Linked DNA regions of Ovis aries. The protein of the gene in region 2 purifies or fractionates together with the protein of the main gene of each other region. This does not show direct contact. Links are inferred from orthologs where the notes say so. Each region holds a gene or a part of one and is shown on either strand. Other genes may lie near its edges.

The links.
Region 1: the proteins of POP1 (region 2) and RPP25 purify together in Homo sapiens (affinity purification with mass spectrometry; 3 studies listed by BioGRID and IntAct, counting the BioPlex papers as one, with this or other methods). This does not show direct contact. The link is inferred for Ovis aries from reciprocal best matches to the Homo sapiens genes POP1 and RPP25.

What each region holds. Positions count from the first base shown.
Region 1 is NC_056071.1:31,412,408-31,416,665, forward strand, and holds RPP25 (ribonuclease P protein subunit p25), read left to right. Parts: upstream 1-1,746; 5' UTR 1,747-1,903; coding exon 1,904-2,536; 3' UTR 2,537-3,185; downstream 3,186-4,258. UniProt on the Homo sapiens protein: Component of ribonuclease P, a ribonucleoprotein complex that generates mature tRNA molecules by cleaving their 5'-ends. Also a component of the MRP ribonuclease complex, which cleaves pre-rRNA sequences.
Region 2 is NC_056062.1:79,008,786-79,013,129, reverse strand, and holds part of POP1 (ribonucleases P/MRP protein subunit POP1), read left to right. Parts: intron 1-854; coding exon 855-1,103; intron 1,104-4,344. UniProt on the Homo sapiens protein: Component of ribonuclease P, a ribonucleoprotein complex that generates mature tRNA molecules by cleaving their 5'-ends. Also a component of the MRP ribonuclease complex, which cleaves pre-rRNA sequences.

The sequences.
Region 1 (4,258 bases), on a different chromosome or scaffold from region 2:
AACTGATGCCCGTTAAGGCCCACAACTGCCCCAGTTTTACAGAACCTGAGTACCCCTGAGCCTCGCCAAGTGCTGCAAATTCTTGTGTCTTCACCAGACTGCTGCCCTTCGACTCCTACGGCTGTTCCTCGGGGGGTAGGGGGTGGGGCCGCGGGAGCTGCGACAGGCCAGAAACACAGATTCCGAGCCGAAAGCGCCCTCCAGAGCCTCTCTCCCCAGCGTGCGAGCAGGAGATCCCAGAAGAGGATGGTCATTCATGTACTGGGGCTCAAAAGTCCACCTGCTCTCCAGTCACTCCCAAAGGGCCGTAGTGGAGTCAGTCCCGGGTTCCAAACAGCAGGGCCGAGCGCTAGGAGATACGAGTTACTGAGAAGGCGAAAGCAGCCTGGAGGAGAGGAGGGGGACCCCAGCAGCCCCGTCTCAAGACTCGGCACCAGCTCTCCCAGGCACTGGGATGACCCCAGCACTTCAAGGGCTTCCTGTCCGCCGCAGCTATCAGGGCTCCACCCCGCCACGCCCCATCGTAGTCACCCCTACCCGGATCAGGTCTGGCCCACCTTCAGTTCTGTGTGTCCCGCGAGGGGTGGAAGGATGAAGGACGAGGCCCTGGGGCAGTTCTAGGAAGAATACAGCTGTATTCTTCACAAACCCGCTCTCTCTCATCAGCAGTCCTTTAAAGCCCAATCTCATCTCTCCCTTCACTGTCCATCTCTCCTGGAAAGAGATCCCGGGCCACTCCCTCGGTCTTGCGGAGTTCCAGGGGAGGGGCACCCGGTAACTGTCCCTGAGATTTCCGTTTCCCAGCTACCTCCCTTCTCCCTCAAAACCTGCTTTTACCCAGCCTCTTTTCTGAAAAGGACCCCACTGGGTCCCAGGGGGCCCGGTTGACTAACAACAAATTCCACCTGAGAAGAAAGGGGATCCACGTGAGCAGAGGACAATATCTGGCTTACTCTAGGGCATGCAGTTCTAATACTCGACTTTCAGGCATGGATGGAGGGAGCTTAACTCCTCTTGAGAAGGGAGTCTCATTGTTCTCGTCCCATTCATCCCAGGGCACAGCCTGGCCCAGAGCCTCGGTTCGCAGAGCAGGGGTGTCTGGGAGCCTTCAGCTCCGGTCAGGCGCGGCAAGCCTGAGACCTCAGTTCTCCGGTTGTCCTGCGAGGACCATGCCGAGACATAGTCGTCGAGGGCAGACGCGGAGCGGAGACGGCGCCTACTACACTCTGCTGACAGCGTGCAGGCTGTCCTTCAGGCGAGAAGAGAGGCTCGGGAGCGAAGGGATGGGGTGGGGGTGGGGGTGTCGTTCCTCTAGGAGTGGGAGAAAGAGGTCCCAGTCCCCAGAAGGCCGCTTTGAAATCTCTCATTGGGAGCGGGCAAGGGGTGGGTGGCCTTCAGCTGAACCGCGGAAGGGCTCGGGGACCCGGCTTGAAGCTGAGTTTGCCCAGCAAATGCAGTTTTTATTTAGGTTGCAGGTTTATGAAGGTAGGCTCAGGGAGGGCTGATGGTGATTATAGGGAAACTTCAGCTGGCAGGTCACTCCTGGCACTGCCATGGCATCCCGCGATGCGCGCACCTCCCAAACCCGGATATCAGAGGACCAGAGTGGATGCGGGCGAATTGCTGGTGAGGCTGGGCGCGAGCTGGCAGGGCTGGGTAAGGGGCGGGGCCCGGCGGCAGGGGCGGGGCTCCCAGGCTCTGAGGCGGGGCCTCAGCTAAAGGCGCGTAGCACAGGGCGCCGAGATCGCCGAGTAGAGCAGCGCCCAGTGGAGAGAAGTGGAAGGCTAGGATCGCACCGTCCCAATCGGCCAGCCAGCGTCCACGCCGCTCCCGCACCCTTAACCCTGCCGGCCCTTGCGGGACGCGACCCACCGACATGCATTCCCGGGGCTGAGGCGGCCCGATGGCGAAGCCCGCGTCCCCGCAACGACGGCGCATGGAGAACTTCCGTAAGGTGCGCTCCGAGGAGGCGCCGGTGGGGAGCGGGGAAAAGGAGGGCGGCCCAGGCTCAGGCCCCTTCGCCGACCTGGCGCCGGGCGCCGTGCATATGCGGGTCAAGGAGGGCAGCAAGATCCGGAACCTGCTGGCCTTCGCCACTGCCAGCATGGCGCAGCCAGCCACGCGCGCCATCGTCTTCAGCGGCTGCGGTCGAGCCACCACCAAAACCGTCACGTGTGCCGAGATCCTTAAGCGCCGCCTGGCGGGTCTGCATCAGGTCACGCGGCTGCGCTACCAGAGCGTGCGCGAGCTGTGGCAGAGCCTCCCTCCGGAGCCCACACCGGGGCAGAAGCCTGGCGAGCCAGCCGCCAGTCTCAGTGTACTTAAGAACGTGCCCAGCCTCGCCATCCTACTTTCCAAGGATGCCCTGGATCCGCGCCAACCCGGGTACCAGCCGCCGAACCCCCATCCCGGCCCCTCGTCCCAGCCAACTGCTCCGACGTCCAAGAGGAGTCTAGGGGAACCTACTGCTGGAGAGAGCTCCGCGAAGAGGTCACAACCCGAGCCAGGTGCTGCTGAAGAGGACCAGACCGCCTGAGAACTCCGGCCTCTGGGCCACCTGGACGGGCTGAATCCTACGCTCGAGCTTCGACCTTGAGATGCATCTCTAGCCTTTCACGCCTTGGTACTCTGGAACCTACAACGTGGAAGCATAGACCCCAAGGCGACAAGGGGGGACCCCAGGGAAGCTTCGTGGTGGGGTTGCTCCTCCAGCTGTGTTGCCTGACGACACTTTCAGCTTTTCTGAACCATACGGGGACCTTCTTCAGGGAGGGAATGGTGGGCAATGGGATTCTTGAGCCTTTAACCCCAAGGGTTAAAGGTTCATGTAGGATTCTTGAAGTGGGCTACGAAGGTGGAAGCTGAGGAGAGCTCTTGAAACCACCCCACCATTGTCAGCAGAGGGCAAAGGGTTGGAAACCACTGCTTGAGGGCGGGGGATTTTGAGTGGCAAGGGGTAAGGGGCTATTCTGCTCCTCACCCCAGGACAGTTTCTAGTTTTCCTTTCCCTGCTTTTAAGGAGCATCCTGAGATCATGGTGGCAGGGGCGTCTCCATAGGCTCTTTTAACATCCCACTTTCCCCATGCTGGCCCAGAGGGAGAGACCCAGGACAGAACTCTCCATGCCGCCTCCCCTGAGCCCCACAGCTGGAGTCTTGCTTCCAATAAAACAAACACAAAAAAGGCTCTGTCCCTGGGTTTTTTCCTAACCACTAGCCTGTGTAGAGACTGCTCTGGTCTGCCCCCTTGTGTCTCAGTCCCCTCCAGCCTGGAATCCTTAGCTTTTGGAGTCTTATGGGTCAGGCACAGAAACTGGACAGCTTTGAAATGGTGCTGGGAGCACCTTACCCAGTGCCTGGTTCCTCCCTCTTTCTCAGCCCTCCCTGGCTAGCTCCAGTAGCTTCAGGGCTTGTGGACAGAAGGGGACCTTGGTCACCTTATGTGCTACCACTAAGGGAAAGGGAGCAGCATACTGCTTTTCTGGAAGGGGGAGGAAGGGAAGCATCAATGAACTATCCTGGGGGTCACTGCCAAGGGTGGCAGATCCAACTGGGCTCCCTAAGCCTGCAGCCTCCTGCCAATAAACAGCCCTACCAGACGGCTGGCCCAGAGCCCCCCAGCCCCATGGATAGAATCTACCCTTCACTGCTCGCTCGCTCTCTCTGAGAAAGGACAGCACACCCTTGGGAGAGGGGGAGGAGAGACTGAGCACAAATCCACTGCTGGAAATTACTATTCAGCAGAGAAGCTGGGACTTGGGCTGTGAATCACTGCAGGCTCCCTGATAAGCTGCTGCCTCTGGCCCTGCACAGCTGTCTGTTGAGAGATAACAGCCTTATAAGCCTTTCTGCCCAACTCCAAGTCAGGTGGGAGGGTGGAAGGAGTGCTGTGTACTGGAAGAACTCTAGCAAATATGAGGGGGAGGGGCATGTAGCTCCAAGATCATAGAAGCAGACCCTGTCCCCTTGCAACTTAACAGCATCCTTGGAAAGGAGGAGATGGGGAAATATGTAAGTCACTTTGTAGGCTAAAAGCTGAAATAAATCCTTCTGCTGGTAACAAGAGGTAGGTTTCTGCAGTTGATATAAGGGGCTCTTCAGGGAGTTCACCCTCACCCCCAGCTCTGCTTGAGCTTTGGATAGGTGGGCCTTGTCAAAGAGACTCTGGCACTGGCTGCTCTCCCTAATGGCTTGTTCTTGATGAGTCCCTAGGGAGAGCCAAGGGATTGGGGTGTGTGAGTCTGACTCTCTCAGGAGCA
Region 2 (4,344 bases):
TTGAAAGATTGCCTTTTGTCTTTTTTGAAATGGAAAACTTGAACTTGGATTTAATTTTTGTTCAAGTCCTGTTGTTTTTGGCTTTACCAAAATTCTTGGTTTGGTCATTCTGTGATTGCCCAAGCACCTTATATCCTCATTAATTGATTCAGAATTTCTTTGTCAAGTGCCGTCTAGGTACTGGCATGGTGCTGGTGGTGGGGTTAGAGTCCATTAAGGTAGAATCTTCTTAAGGGGCCCACACGCTAATGGAGAAGAGTTTTTCCCACAGCACTTTAGCTTAGCTATGGAAGAGGAAGAGTGAAAACTAAACAGGAATTTTGTAGTTTCTCGATTTCATGAGAAGTCTGTTTCCTCATGAAAGCGTTTAGCATTTGTCTTTCAGTACTTAAGTGATGTGAGTTGTGTAGGTTTTTCCCACTTTTATATTTTTGGTCCTTAGTTTGGGGTTTAATTATGATCTTAGAGGTTAAAAAAACTAGAAAGAGAACAATGAAGAACTAGCATCTGATTTATTCTTTCTTCCTGTCTGATATTGTTAGCCACACATCAGTTTGACTTACTATGTTGAACATTTTGTAAATATTCTAATCTTCCCAGGCCCCAGAGTTTGCCCAGTTCATGAGTGATAGAACTGAGCTTCCTTCCTAGGTTTGCCTTTTCCTAAAATCTTCATTCTTTCTGTGACCTCCTCTACTTTTGTTGGAAAAAATCACCAAATTAAAAAATTGCACAAACTAATGGAGTCCTAAAGTATTTCACTTCACCTAAAACTAGCTCTTTGAATTCCTAACACTTAACTTTGTTTTGAGATGGTCACAAACAGGGATCTGCCTGTCTTCTTGAAACTATAGGCAGAGAAAGCAGTTCATCAGAAAAAAGAACACTCAAAAAATAAGTGCCATAAAGCTCGACGATGTCACATAAACCGCATACTGGAGTTTAACCGGAGACAGAAGAAGAACAAATGGCTGGAAACTCACATCTGGCACGCGAAGCGGTTTCACATGGTCAAGAGGTGGGGCTACTGCCTGGGAGAGAGGCCGACAGTCAAGAGCCACAGAGCCTGCTACCGGGCCATGACGAGCCGCTGCCTCCTCCAGGTAGGCTTCCAGAGCCAGCGGCCGCTCAGTGCGCTCCCCTCTGTTTCTGTTTAGACTCTTCCCCACCCTTTTGAAAGAGTTCGTGGTAGGCCAAAGCCCTATCTAAGATGACGTATTTTAAAAATAATTACTGGGCGAGAACCATTTTGCTAGATGCTGGAGTTGAAGCAGCCTCAAGTTTTGGGGGGAGACTGACAGTCAGATAATTAGCCTAACATTCAGTTTTGTTGTAAGGGAAAACTGTGCAATGCTATGAATATTCATAACGGGAAGAGGAGTGCTTCGCCACGCAAGTGATGTCTGAGCCGAGCTCTAAGGGCTAAGAAATTGCCAGAGTGGGGAAGGCAGCAGGCAGCCAGATAGGGAAGGATCGAAATAAACACACTGTGACAAAGACGAAGAGAGTGAGAGCAGGGCTAACGTTAGGGTGAGAGTAGTTCTGGAGAAATAAGTAGAAACCAGAGCCCGCGGGGTCTTATTGGTCATGCTCCAGGCTGATTCAGCACTGATTCATTTAGCAGTCATTTGCCACCATAGATGTTTGAGAACCGTCTCTGCTGGGAAGTGTACCTTATGACCCAGCAATCCCACTGCTGGGCATACACACCGAGGAAACCAGAATGGAAAGAGACACATGTGTTCATCGCAGCACTGTTTATAATAGCCAGGACATGGAAACAACCTAGATGTCCATCAGCAGATGAATGGATAAGAAAGCTGTGGTACATATACACAATGGAGTATTACTCAGCCGTTAAAAAGAATTCATTTGAATCAGTTCTGATGAGATGGATGAAACTGGAGCCGATTATACAGAGTGAAGTAAGCCAGAAAGAAAAACACCAATACAGTATACTAACACATATATATGGAATTTAGGAAGATGGCAATGACGACCCTGTATGCAAGATAGGAATAAAGACACAGATGTGTATAATGGACTTTTGGACTCAGAGGGAGAGGGAGAGGGTGGGATGATTTGGGAGAATGGCATTCTAACATGTATACTATCATGTAAGAATTGAATCGCCAGTCTATGTCAGGCGTAGGATACAGCATGCTTGGGGCTGGTGCATGGGGATGACCCACAGAGATGTTATGGGGAGGGAGGTGGGAAGGGGGTTCATGTTTGGGAACACATGTAAGAATTAAAGATTTTAAAATTAAAAAATTAAAAATAAAAATTAAAAAAAGTCTTTGAGAGGACAGTTGAGTTTGGAGCTGATCTTAGAGCTGCGTAATAGTCTTTGTCTGTCTTGGCTGTCTAGCTCCTCCACCCCAGCAGCCTGCCCCAGTCCCCCCAGCTCCACGTGAAATCGCTTCCTCTCTTTTTCAGTACATGTTTAGCAATCTGTGGGCTTCCCCGGTAGCTCAGACGGAAAAGTGTCTGCCTACAATGCGGGAGACCCAGGTTTGATCCCTGGGTTGGGAAGATCCCCTGGAGGAGGAAATGGCAACCCACTCCAGTATTCTTCCCTGGAAAATCCCATGGACTGAGGATCCTGGTAGTCGCAAAAGACCCCAGTCCATGGGGTTGCAGAGTCGGACAGGACTGAGCGACTTCACTTAGCAATCTGTTCTTTGCAGAGGGCCTTTCAATGGCAGGATGGCCTTGACCAACTTTAGAAAGCTGTTCGTATTAGCATCCTCTGATACCTCTTGAGAGCAATATAGCAGAATAATCAGTACAAGAACCTGAAAAAAATCTGTGGTAAAAGAGACCTAACGTCAGATTTGCCATTTTATTTTTAAGTCTGCACTTCCGTGGTACTTATTACTTAGGTCTTAAGTAGATTCACATTGTTGTGTGACTGTCATTACCATCCGTCTCCAGGACTTGTTCGTCTCCTCAAGCTGAAATCCTGCATCCATTAAACACTGAAGTCCCCATTCCTGTCTCACCCTGGTCTCTGTCAGCTACCATTCTACTTTTTATCTTTATAAATTTGACCCCTCTAGGTGGCTCACATAAGTAGAATCATATGATACTTGTATTTTTGAGACTGGCTTATTTCCCTTAGCATGATGTCTTCAAGGTTCATCCATGTTGTATCATGTGTCAGAATTTCCCTGTTTTTAAGGCGGAATGATATTCCGTTGTATTTTATACCACGTTGTGTTTATCCATTCATCATCCATCCATTCATCCATCCATCAACGTTGATCCACTCTTGGGTGGTCTCCACTTCTTGGCTGTCTCGAGTAATGCCGCTGTGGACACGTTGTACAAACATCCCTGCAGCTCTTTGCTCTCAGTTCTTTTGGGTACATGCCCCGGAGTGGAACTGCTGGATCATGAGATAGTTCCTGGTTTAATTTTTTGAGGAACCATCATACTGTTTTCCGTAGAGGCTCTACCATTTTACATGCCCATCAGCAGGTTCTGCACATCCTCACCACACCTGGTGTTTGCTGGCTTTTTGTTTTTTTTTTGATAATTGCCATCCTAATGGGTATAAGTAAAACACAGGGACCTCTTAAGAGCCTTTGATTTGAAGACTCAGTAGCAGAAATCATGGATTAGAGTCAAATTCTTCATTTTACATTGCGGATCTGGGATTTGGAGTGATCAAGTGACTTGCCTAGGGCCACACATGTTGCTGGCGACCTACCTAGCTCTGGGAAGCCGACTCCCCTGGCCCATGCTTTCTCCACTACCATCACTCAGATTGTAAGGCAGACATAGTTACTCCTCATTTGGGGCAGAATTTTTGCTGAGGTTATCCCATACTTTCTTTACATCTGCCCTAAGTAATAAAAATAATAGCTAGTAATAAATATTTTTGAATACTTAATGTCTGTTTTAGTACTTTACATATGTTTACTCACTTAATCCTTACAGCAACAGTATGGGGTAAGTGTTTATTATTATTTCCATTTTACAAATGAGGAAGCTGAAGTACAGAGAAGTTGGGCAGTTTACCCACAGCTGTACAGCTAATGAGTGGTGAAGCTGGGATTTGAGCCCAGGTCGTCTGGCTCCAGAGTTCCATGCTCTTAACCATCATTCTCTGCTGTCAGCCAATTGTACACACTCTGCCGCTGACAGCTGGGAGTGGATCACTGTTGCTGGAAGATTTCTGTCAGCACAGATGAACATGAGTTTGTTGCAGCCTTTGCTGCACTTGGCATTTTAGTTTCCATGTGTACTGGATTTGCTTACAGGACCTGTGGCAGAGGGGTTAGCCTGGGGGTCAGTGAGCCTGACTCATGCCAGCTTCTCCACTTTCTGATGATATGA